Mus musculus: one gene and its partners. The protein of the gene in region 3 purifies or fractionates together with the protein of the main gene of each other region. This does not show direct contact. Links are inferred from orthologs where the notes say so. Each region holds a gene or a part of one and is shown on either strand. Other genes may lie near its edges.

Evidence for each region.
Region 1: the proteins of Etaa1 (region 3) and Atr purify together in Homo sapiens (affinity purification with western blotting; 3 studies listed by BioGRID, with this or other methods). This does not show direct contact. The link is inferred for Mus musculus from reciprocal best matches to the Homo sapiens genes ETAA1 and ATR.
Region 2: the proteins of Etaa1 (region 3) and Rpa2 purify together in Homo sapiens (affinity purification with western blotting; 4 studies listed by BioGRID, with this or other methods). This does not show direct contact. The link is inferred for Mus musculus from reciprocal best matches to the Homo sapiens genes ETAA1 and RPA2.

Annotation. Positions count from the first base shown.
Region 1 is NC_000075.6:95,860,452-95,864,104, forward strand, and holds part of Atr (serine/threonine-protein kinase ATR), read left to right. Parts: intron 1-917; coding exon 918-1,009; intron 1,010-2,331; coding exon 2,332-2,481; intron 2,482-3,653. UniProt on the Homo sapiens protein: Serine/threonine protein kinase which activates checkpoint signaling upon genotoxic stresses such as ionizing radiation (IR), ultraviolet light (UV), or DNA replication stalling, thereby acting as a DNA damage sensor.
Region 2 is NC_000070.6:132,774,774-132,778,426, forward strand, and holds part of Rpa2 (replication protein A 32 kDa subunit), read left to right. Parts: intron 1-243; coding exon 244-360; intron 361-1,474; coding exon 1,475-1,582; intron 1,583-1,879; coding exon 1,880-1,974; intron 1,975-3,016; coding exon 3,017-3,101; 3' UTR 3,102-3,653. UniProt on the Homo sapiens protein: As part of the heterotrimeric replication protein A complex (RPA/RP-A), binds and stabilizes single-stranded DNA intermediates that form during DNA replication or upon DNA stress.
Region 3 is NC_000077.6:17,947,292-17,950,944, reverse strand, and holds part of Etaa1 (ewing's tumor-associated antigen 1 homolog), read left to right. Parts: intron 1-3,057; coding exon 3,058-3,170; intron 3,171-3,377; coding exon 3,378-3,653. UniProt on the Homo sapiens protein: Replication stress response protein that accumulates at DNA damage sites and promotes replication fork progression and integrity.

The DNA of each region.
Region 1 (3,653 bases), on a different chromosome or scaffold from region 3:
TAGAATAAACCTCAGTTTTTCTGTGTCTCCTTACGGCTCTTCTAGCTAGCCTAGGTATCTCTCTGGTCTTATTAATCACAATTGCATTTATATCCCAGGCTTCCATTAATCTGAGCTGTGTGATCTCCAGTGATTTAACTTCCAGAGCATCCTCAGATCCAAATTAGGCTTAGTATCTTACCTTGTTTTATAGGGTTTGTGTTAGCTCATTATATCCAAATATTATCACACTCATATGTAACTCATATAAGACGATTAATGCAACATTAATTCTTTTGTCCAAGTATGAGTAATCCAATATGTATCTTATATACATCTTAATTTGGAATAACCTTCTTTTCAAGTATTAAATAGTCATATGTGGCTAATGGCTGCCATTTTGAGCTGCACATTTCTAAAATATGAAGGTTAGCTGTCTGCACTGGCATTTAAGACTTTCCCCGCCCCAAATTAGTAATATCTTTAGATTTTCACTTTTAAGAAGTATAATACTGTCTATGTTAACATTTAAACCAATCATATTTGTTAGGTTCAAGTTTAGAGAGCTTTTGTACAAATTGAAAAGTAGGTCCTTTTAAAGATGAAATGCTCTTTGCTGGATTAGTTTGTAGAGACAGAATCTCTCTAAATAGCTTATGCTGGCCTAGAATCACTGGCCTTCTGCCTCAGCTTCCAATTATAGGTATGTGCCACCATACCTCTAATAAAACATTTTTACATTAATTTATTTATTGGGAGGGAGGGTCACACACATCACAGTCCATGTGGAGGATGACTCATGGGAGTTACTTCTCCCCTCCCACTATATCCATCCGGGGATGGAACTAAGGCCAGGCTTGGCAGCCTGCCTTTACCTGCTAAGCCATCTTGCTTGCTCCCATAGTGCCTCTTTTAACAAGCTTTACTTTGTATTTCAGTGCTACTCCAGAAGAATATAACACTGTTGTACAGAAACCAAGACAGATTCTCTGCCAGTTCATTGACAGAATACTTACAGATGTAAATGTTGGTAAGAGGGAATTATTTCTTCCATGAACTTCAATGGTTTTCCGTGTAACATTGTACTACCTGTTTTTCCTCTAGGCAGTTTTAGTCAGAGTTAGTTTTTGTTATAGATAGTAATTTCCAGCAAATTGTTACTCAGTATTGCTTATTACTTAAAACATAATGTAATTTAGGCTTTAAAATCAAGGGTGTGTTTCTATTATTCCATGATTTTTCTACTGGCTTCCTAGAATTCTTTAATGCATTAGTTATAAAACATTTGACTGGGTCCAATCATATGGGCTTTATCAACAACTTGCAAAAAAAAAAAAAAAAAAAAGTGAAATTTGGTACCAACACATTTTGTGATTTATTATAACCACTTAAACTTTGTTCTTTTCAGTCTACAAAGTCATAGGTTGCTAAAATGAGAGCAAAGGGCTATGAACACTTGTAAGATATGGTTCCCTCTGGGTCTCCCTCTGTTCTCACCACTTGCCTTTTCCCTCAGCCATAGGAACTCCTTCATGGGATCTTTCCAGAATTGTTTCATTTTATCCTGAATTACCAAGTCAAACTACTATTTTTAATTCTTTGACTCCTTCACCAGATTATTGTTTTTGTTTTGTTTTATCTTAAGCATGGTGCCTGTCATCTTACAGGCCTATATAACAAATGTTTGCAGAATGGGCTATATTATAGATGAATGTATATGGTTATTAGACATTGAAAATTAAGTGGTAGGCTGGAAAGATGACTCAGACATTAATCTTGCTGCCTTTAAATTCCCACCACAATCTTAAAAAGCAGCTGCAGCAATGCACACCTGTGATTGCTGCAATTCTCACAGTAGATCTGTGGAGCTTCCTGGTCCAGCCAGTCAGCAGGGCATGGTGGCCCACGCCTTTAATCCCAGCACTTGGGAGGCAGAGGCAGGCAGATTTCTGAGTTCGAGGCCAGCCTGGTCTACAAAGTGAGTTCTAGGACAGCCAGGGCTATACAAAGAAAAAAAAAAAAACCTGGTCCAGCCAGTCTAGCTAAGTTGGTGAAGTGTAGGTTCAGTGAGATCTCTTGTCTCAAAAAATAAGGTAGAGAATGATTGAAGCAGACACCCAACATTGACCTCTGACTGTCACATTCATCACACACACACACACACACACACACACACGAACATGTACATAGACATATACCATACACATACACATACTAGATAATAGGACTTCTTCATGTATCAGTGTAGCATGAGTACTCCACTGGACAAAGTTTTGATTACCAAAATTTAGTTTCTTAACAAAAGCTCTATATTTTGTCATGAGTTTTTAAAAAGAATCTTTTATCTCTTAGTTGCTCTAGAACTTGTAAAGAAAACTGACGCTCAGCCGACCTCTGTGATGTTACTTGATTTTATCCAGCACATCATGAAGTCTTCTCCGCTTATGTTTGTAAATGTGAATGGAAGCCAGGGCCAAAATGAGGCCAAAGACAGTTGTATTGGTAAGTGCTGTTATTTTATGTTAATCCTTAACCAGTTTTATTAGATCTCCTTTGCTGCTTTTCTGAATATCACATTTATATAATTACATGCTCCCACAAGTCATATTTGCTTTTGGGGAAAAGTGGTAGCAGTTTTGTTTTTGAGGCAGGGTCTCGTATGTACCTTTGGCTGGCATAGAATGCATTTGTAGACTAGGCTAGCCTGGAACTCAGAGATTGGCCTGCCTCCTGAGTGCTGGGATTAGACATATGCCAGCATGCCCAGCTTCAGCTACTTTTTTTTTTTTCATTTTGACAGTTTTACTAGAACATCATCTCAAATTACTACAAAGGTTTTTTTTTTTTTTTTTAGACATTCTACTCAAAAATACTTATACCAGGTGTAGTCATGCATGCATTTAATCCCAGTGCTCAGTAGTAGAGGCAGGAGGATCTTTGAGTTGGAGGCCACCTGTTCTACAGAGCAAGTTCCAAGTCAGCCAGGGCTACACAGAGGAAACACTTTCTTTAAAAACCAAAACCACATCCCTAACAAGATCTGACTCCCTCTTCTGGTGTGTCTGAAGACAGCTATAGTGTACTTACATATAATAATAAATAAATCTTAAAAAAAAAAAAAAAAAACCAAAACCAAACAAAACAAAACTTAACTACATTGCCTTCTAAGAAAAATTTGCTTTCTGTATGTTAAAGCATTTTTCTAGACTTTTACTGTATTGTTACTACCCCATTAATCTGCCTGCTCCTCACTTTCTGATTCTCTCATAAAAGGATGCAGAACAAACTTTTTCCTATATAATGAAATATTTTAAAATTTGTTAATAGTATCTGCTTTGATAATATAGCCTTCAAAAAGTGTTTTCTGGGGGATGGAGAGATGCCTTAGTGGTTAAGAGCACTAACTGCTCTTCCAGAGGTCCTGAATTCAATTCCTAGCAACCACGTGGTGGCTCACAACCATCTGTAATGGGATTCAATGCTCTCTTCTGGTGTGTCTGACGACAGCTATAATGTACCCATATACATAAAATAAATAATTCTTTAAAAAAAAGTTTTCTGACTCATCCTGGCCACCTAGGACTTGTTTTCTTTTTTTTGCTGCTGAATTATATGTTCTTATTATTGATGTTCTGTATTTCTTCTGTCATAAGTTCTTAAATTATACTATAATC
Region 2 (3,653 bases), on a different chromosome or scaffold from region 3:
TCAGGAGAATCTCTAGAAGCTTTGGGGCTACCTAGTTGGTTGGGTGTATATACTAGAAAGACAACCTGTTTGAGGTAGGAAGTGAGAACCAACACACCAAGTCTACCCTCTTGACTTCCCTTGCATACAGTGGTACATGTGCCCACATTCATATTCACATTTTTAAGTCTAACAGGCGTTTTGCCCAGAAAGTCACTTGAATATGTTTGCCTTTTACTTATATTTTCCTCTTACTTATAATAGAACAAAAAGAGCTTGGTGGCCTTTAAGATCATTCCTCTGGAAGACATGAATGAGTTCACCGCACACATCCTGGAAGTGGTCAATTCACACATGATGCTCAGCAAGCCCAACAGCCAGGTGAGCAGCTGCAACTGACTCCTCCCTTTCTGGGAAACCAAACTTAACATTCATATTTCCGTGTCTGTGTGTGGTGTGTGAGGGATCCCCTGCAGGTAGGGCTACAAGCTGTGTGCCACCTGCAGCCAAACTCAGGAAGAGCTCAAAGAGCTCCCACTGCTGAGCCATCTTCAGCCATCACGTGGTCCTCAGCACATTTTCTCCCCGAGCTTCGCCACTGTCCTTTAGTCTAAGTGAAACACTCATGTTTCTCAGAGTTTCCAGTTGTTTCTCACCCAATACCAAGATAGCTGACCAAAAGTTTCAAAGCCAAACAGCATTTTGCGTCCAACCTGTACGCCATAAAAACATCTCAACAACAGACATCTAATGGGTGTTTGACTGGATGGCCTAATAGGATAGAGTTTGTCCTCTGTGTGGTCGCACTGTGTTAAACCTCACAGGCCGTGTGACCCTGTTATTCAGTTCAGTGGGTACAAGACTTAGCGGATGTCCTGTTCATCAGCACTGCAGAGAGGAAGGCTTCTGAGAAGGTGCAGTGGGAGTGAGTGGGAGCCAGAGAAGCCTGGAGGGGCCACTGGGGAGCAGTGGGCAGCATTGTCTGCTGCTAAGAGGTCAGATGTTGTGGTGACCAAAAGGCTGGAGCAGCCAGGGACTAGAGACGTTGGTAGAACTCAATTCAGAGGATTTGAGATAATCCAGCTAGTGGTAGGCAGAGAAGGAGTGACCTAAAAGAGGGTGAAGCATCTGTGCCTTTCTCGGTCTTATCCATAGTGGGCAAGCCCTCTGCCAGGGATCTGTACTCACAGGCAAGCCTGGGCCCTTTTCTCTCTCAACAGGGTTTCACGATAATAAATGCTCACTTGAGCGAGCCCAGGGAAGCCGCTGTAGCTGGCATGTGAAGTCGTAGTGCCAGAGCCTCCTTTCCGGGGACAGGGAATGCATGCCTCGGGGTTAGTTAACGCTCCTTACGAGGTTTCATTGTTAGAGTTTTCCTATATCAGTCGTTACTAGGGAAACTGATTAAATTGTTTGCTGCTGTTTATTAGTAAGTTAGGTGGAGTAGGGTTGATGTGGTGGCTTTTCTAATGTTCTGATCTTGTTCTTAATTCAGGCCTCTGCAGGGAGACCATCGATGAGCAACCCAGGAATGAGTGAGCCGGGGAACTTCAGCGGGAATAACTTCATGCCAGCAAATGGCCTCACTGTGGTCCAAAACCAGGTAAGCTGCCTGCTTACCCTGCAGAGCACGGGCAGTCTGATAGTTTGTTTCTTCCCAAATGATGGGAGGTTATCTTGCAGCCTGCTTCACACCAACACCCCTCCTTTTTAACTTGTGTGTGCTTGCCTGCTTGTACAGATGGATATGTGTATGTCCACAATGCCCGATACCAGTAGAGGATAGAGAGGGTGGAAACCCAGGGTCTCCTGAGCCATCTTTCCAGCTCCTCTTTGTTTATCGTAAGTAAGCTGATGCAGAGTAGTTGGTTGCTAAAGTCTTTTTACTCTGAACTGTCAGGTGCTGAATTTGATCAAGGCTTGCCCAAGACCTGAAGGCCTGAACTTCCAGGACCTCAGGAGCCAGCTCCAGCATATGCCTGTTCCCTCAATCAAGTGAGTCTTGTTGTCCGTGGCCTTGGATCTGTCCACAACCTTCTGCTGGTGGGGAGTGGAAAAGGTGAAGCCGGATCTATCATCTCAGCACTTGAAAGATAGAAGCAGGAGGATTGGGAGTTCAGAGCCAACCTGGGCTGCCTGAGACTCACTCACACAGGAGTCAGCTGCTGGGAAGAAAACAGAAAAGCACTCACAGGTGGCGCTGTTGCACCGCTTACTGATTTGTTGGGACCTGAAGGCATCAGGCAGCCCTTCTTACTCCAGACTCCTGATTCCATTGCAGTGAACTGAGATGGGTGTGTGTGTGTGTGTGTGTGTGTGTGTGTGTGTGTGTGTGTGTGTGTGTGTGTTCAAGGCCAGCCGAGTTTACATAGCGAGTTCCAGGACAGCTCTGACTACATAGAGACCAAGACCCTGTCTCAAACAAGCAAACCCATTTACTAACTATATGCCGAGATGGAGTAAATGCCCAGGCCAGTTCCCCATTTTATGCTGTGAAATGGTGGTCGATAACGCCCATCTCAAAGTCATTGTGTTGAGGTAGCTACACTGTAAATGGCTCGTACTAGACATCTTCCTGTCTCTGAGGACCTAAGGATTTGGAGGAGTCTCTTTCTGGCTTACCTTTCCCTTCCCGCCACTCTACTGCCCATAGGCAAAGCAAACGGCATCTCAGTGTGTGATTCTGGGGCCTGAATCCAGGGAAGGGAGCTGTAAGACCCCTGTGCACATCTCATGTGCGAGCTGACTGTAGCTTCAGGATCTTACGTCAACTTAGATTGGCATCTAAGTGAAGCCTTGTTTTATTTTGGAATTTGAGTCCGGGATCCAAGGCAGCCCTGGTAGCTCTGGTCTGCATGGATAACCTCAACCCTTGGGTTGTATCGACATTTCTCTACGAGAGACTTCCATGAACAAAGTGACTGAGGAATTCACAGCTAAGAGAAGTACACAAACAAGTGATGTTTGCTCATTTAGCTATGTTCAAAAGGCGCTGGTTTTAATGTGGGGATCCCCCCCCCTTTTTTTTTCCTTTCAGGCAAGCAGTGGATTTTCTGTGCAACGAGGGCCACATTTACTCTACTGTGGACGACGATCACTTTAAGTCTACAGATGCAGAGTGACTGGAGTTTCCTGGGTGCCTGGAATCTGTCCAGCTGGGCCTGTGTTCCTCTGTCGGCCCCAGCTCTGCGGGCTTTGGCCAGAGGCTTCTAGGACAGAACTTTGCTGTAGAAGGTCTCACTCAGCTGAAGTCCTTTTGGAACTTAGTGCTCTCTGTTTTGTTGCTTGTTGTTTAGAGGTTCAGAGGGAGATAGACAGTTGAGAAGGAAGTAAACCAGGACTGGATTTCTTGTAAGAAATTCCAATAAGCTAGTCAGGACTCCAGGATGGGTGGTCGGAATTGAAAGAGGAACACTGCCAAGATGTCAGGGCAGGGCTTCAGCTTGCTTGAGAGCGACTGTTCTCCAAGGCTTCGTGTTGAGGACAAGCACTGCTAGGGCCAAGGGCCAAAGAAGAACCTACCACCCTCTGCCAGTTTGCGCTGCCCTCTGGGTCTGCGGGGTTACTTTCGGAATTGCACTTTCCTTCCCTTGTCTTGCCCGCCGTGGGAAGGAGGTTTAAGTGAGCCTGAGGTTCTGACCTGGAGGCCTCGTGCGGCTGAGAGAAAGAAATGT
Region 3 (3,653 bases):
CACAAAAGAGTCCAGTAACTGATTCCTTTTATTAGTCCTGAGTTTCTTTTCTGTCTTTTTCTTACTTATTTTTTTTTACGTTTTAAAAAGTATGTGTGTATATGTATCTTTAAGTATACATTGTATGTACTTATGTATGTATGTGCTTGCCTGCCCACGCCCACAGCATGTGTGTGGGAGAGGTCACCTTGCCAGAGTCAGTTCTCTTCTTTGGCTTATGGTTGTCCTAGGGAATGAGCTCAGGTCACAAGACTTGATAGCATGCTGAGCCATTTTGCCAGCCCTCTTTTTCTTAATTAACAACACTTAAATTCAAAGAATATCTAAGTTTTGTTTACTGTTGTCTTTGAGGAAATTGTTGTATTTTCCCTTAATATGCCCTAGGATAGTGTATTATTGGCCTGTAGTAATGACCCACAGATCTCACTGGTTCAAAATGTGATTATGAGGAATCAACATATCCAAAAAGAGAAGATAGGTACAACTTGTCTCCGGCTATAGAAATCTAGACATATAATCAGTAGTCAGTACAGCTTTGTAGCTGGTATCTCTGCTTCCCATGTTGTCATGCCGTAGGATTCATTGTATTTACTCTTTATGGCTGAAGTACATATATGCTATATTATTACTGTGTGCTAACAATATGTCTTGAGCCGGGCGTGGTGGCGCACACCTTTAATCCCAGCACTTGGGAGGCAGAGGCAGGCGAATTTCTGAGTTCGAGGCCAGCCTGGTCTACAGAGTGAGTTCCAGGACTACACAGAGAAACCCTGTTTCAAAAAACCAAAACCAAAAACAAAAACAAAACAAAACAAAACAAAAAAACAATATGTCTTTATTAACTACATCAAAGCACAGTTAAGCATGTTTGGGCTGACTAGCCTGACATGAGTGATACAAAGTTGAGTGTCCTGTTGGCTCCATAACTAAATGGGCTGGAAAGAGCAGCTCACGTAAAGACAGCAGTGCTAGGATTATACAGTCAGTGTCTTCTGCTCGACATTCTTTTTGTATTTTTGAGACAGGGTTTCTCTGTGTAGCCCTGGCTGTCCTGGAACTCACTTTGTAGACCAGGCTGTCCTGGAACTCAGAAATCTGCCTGCCTCTGCCTCCCGAGTGCTGGGATTAAAGGTGAGCGCCACCACCACCTAGCTATTCTGCCGGACATTCTTTTTTTTTTTTTTTTTTTTTTTTTTTTTAAAGATTTATTTATTTATTATATGTAAGTACACTGTAGCTGTCTTCAGACGCACCAGAAGAGGGCATCAGATCTCTGTTACAGGTGGTTGTGAGCCACCATGTGGTTGCTGGGATTTGAACTTGGGACCTTTGGAAGAGCAGTCGGGTGCTCTTACCCCCTGAGCCATCTCACCAGCCCCTCTGCCGGACATTCTTAAAACAGGTTAATTGTTGGCAGCATTAAGATTTCTCAGAAAATGTCATGCTCTTCATATTTGTGTTTTTCTTAGTTATCTTCAAATCATTTAATTTCTTCCAAATGGTTTCTGATTTCAGTTTTTAAGAAATACATTTGCGTATTAGATACTCATTTCATTTCCTGTAGTGATTTCTTCTGTGATGTTTAAGGTCTTTATTTGCCTTATTTATATAACTTTATACAACGCTAAGATCAATTGAAGGCTTAGACAACTTGTATGGCACCTAGAATGTACTTAGGGTTCAGCAAATTATGTAATAATCATAATTTAAAATAAGCACAAGTAGCTCATAAATATACAGAGGACTCTTGATATATATGCTTGAGAGGCTATGTAAAATTGTTATGACTTTCTGAAACTTTATATGAATTTAATTTATTTGGACAGATTCCAAAATTAAGTCATTAAGGATGTTACTTAAGAGTGTTATACAAACAACTCAGAAAATATTGAGTCTTCCAATGAAATTAACTGGTTTTATGATTTTATAAAACTAAATATCTTTTCACCCAAATCTTCAAGCAATGTAAAATGACCCTTTTTTAAAAAAATGCTGTTTCCATGGATACGTGCAAGCAGGCACATACTTTGTAAAGATCAGAGGACGTCAGTGAAGCCTTCTCCCACTCTAGACCCAAATTAGAATACCCTATAGTCTCGTAGTTTTAACTTTGTATCATGTTTTATACTTCTATTCTTTCTAGCTACTGTAAACAAATAAGATTGATTAAGTAATTTGGTTTGCTAGTTTGGTTTATGTCAGTGGTTCTCAATCTTCCTAATGCTGTGACTCTAATACAGTTCCACATGTTGTGGTGATCCTCAAACAAAATTATTTTTGTTGCTTACTTCATAGCTAATTTTGCTACTGTTACGAATCATAATGCAAACATTTTTGGAGATAGAGAGCTGCCAAAGGAGTCATGACCCACAGGTTGAGAACAACTGGTTTATAATATAAAGCTCATTTTATAACTTTGTGATTAAGGAACTAAAGACATACAGCAAAAATAAGTTGATTTTTTTTTTCATACTTGAAGTTTTCTGCTTTTGTCTTTTTTTCTAGTTGTCCATTCTTAGCTTTTGCTTTGACCTTGCGGTAAAATCTCTATAATCTGTTTTGACATTACTTAGACTCTCAGTCTAAGTCAAGGTAGAGCTCCCAAGTTTTAGTTAAGACTTTATGAGGATAAGAAAACTTGGAGAATCACTACTGCAGAAAAAATTCTGAATATATTCTTATTTTCAGGTCTGATAGTTGTATGTAGTTTGTTTCTGGTTTTGTGAACATCTTACAACTAAAATGTTATTTTTCCTTCTACCAAATATTATATGTATGTAACATCAAAATGTATTTGATATAGGTAATGTACTTCAAACCTTGGTTTTTATAAACATGGAATTCCTAAGTTCGAATATTACTTTTTAGTTGTGGGAATATAAATGGATCATAGCTTCTGACATAATGCCTTTCTCCAGCTTCTCATTGTTTGAGTTTGTTGAGTGCTTACAACAGAATTTCCCCCTCTAGTCTCATCTCTCTCTCTCTCCTGAGAGAGGGAGGGGTGGTTATTTGTTTTATAAGGCTCTTATGCTTCTCTTTTTTCGTCTTTCGAAGGACGAGAAACCAGTGACAAATTCCATGCTGGGAGTATGGATTGGTGAAACTGCTATTCCTTGTACTCCTGGCGTAGCAAAAGAGAAGTCAAGAGTGAAAGCCAGCTGCACAAAGTGAGTTCACCCTCCTCCTGAAAGTCAGTGAGGCAGGCGCTCCATTCTTGCTCATAGTCTTGGGTTTCTGTTTCAATATGTGAGTTAAAAACATAGTATTCTGAGAGTTAAAATTTTGGTGTTTCGTCACACGAAACTATACTAAACAGTAATCTAGTAGTTATTAAACAATTTTTTAATCAAAATGTTTCAATGTTTTTTTAATAGATTAAAAACAAAAAATCGAGAAAAAGAACTTATGAAATTGGCCCAACAGTTTGATAAAAATATGGAAGAACTTGATGTGATCCAAGAGCAAGATGGGAAGAATCATGATTTTATCCAGATGACTTCAAAAATGGGACATTTAGATAACCATAAAGATTCTGTGCAGAAGCCGTCAGGTGATGTAGTTCCTGAAATCACTTGTACTCCTGTGAAGAAGCAAATGAAAGGAGACAGTAGAATATCCTTGGCAAAGGCACAAGACAGCAGTCAGAAACC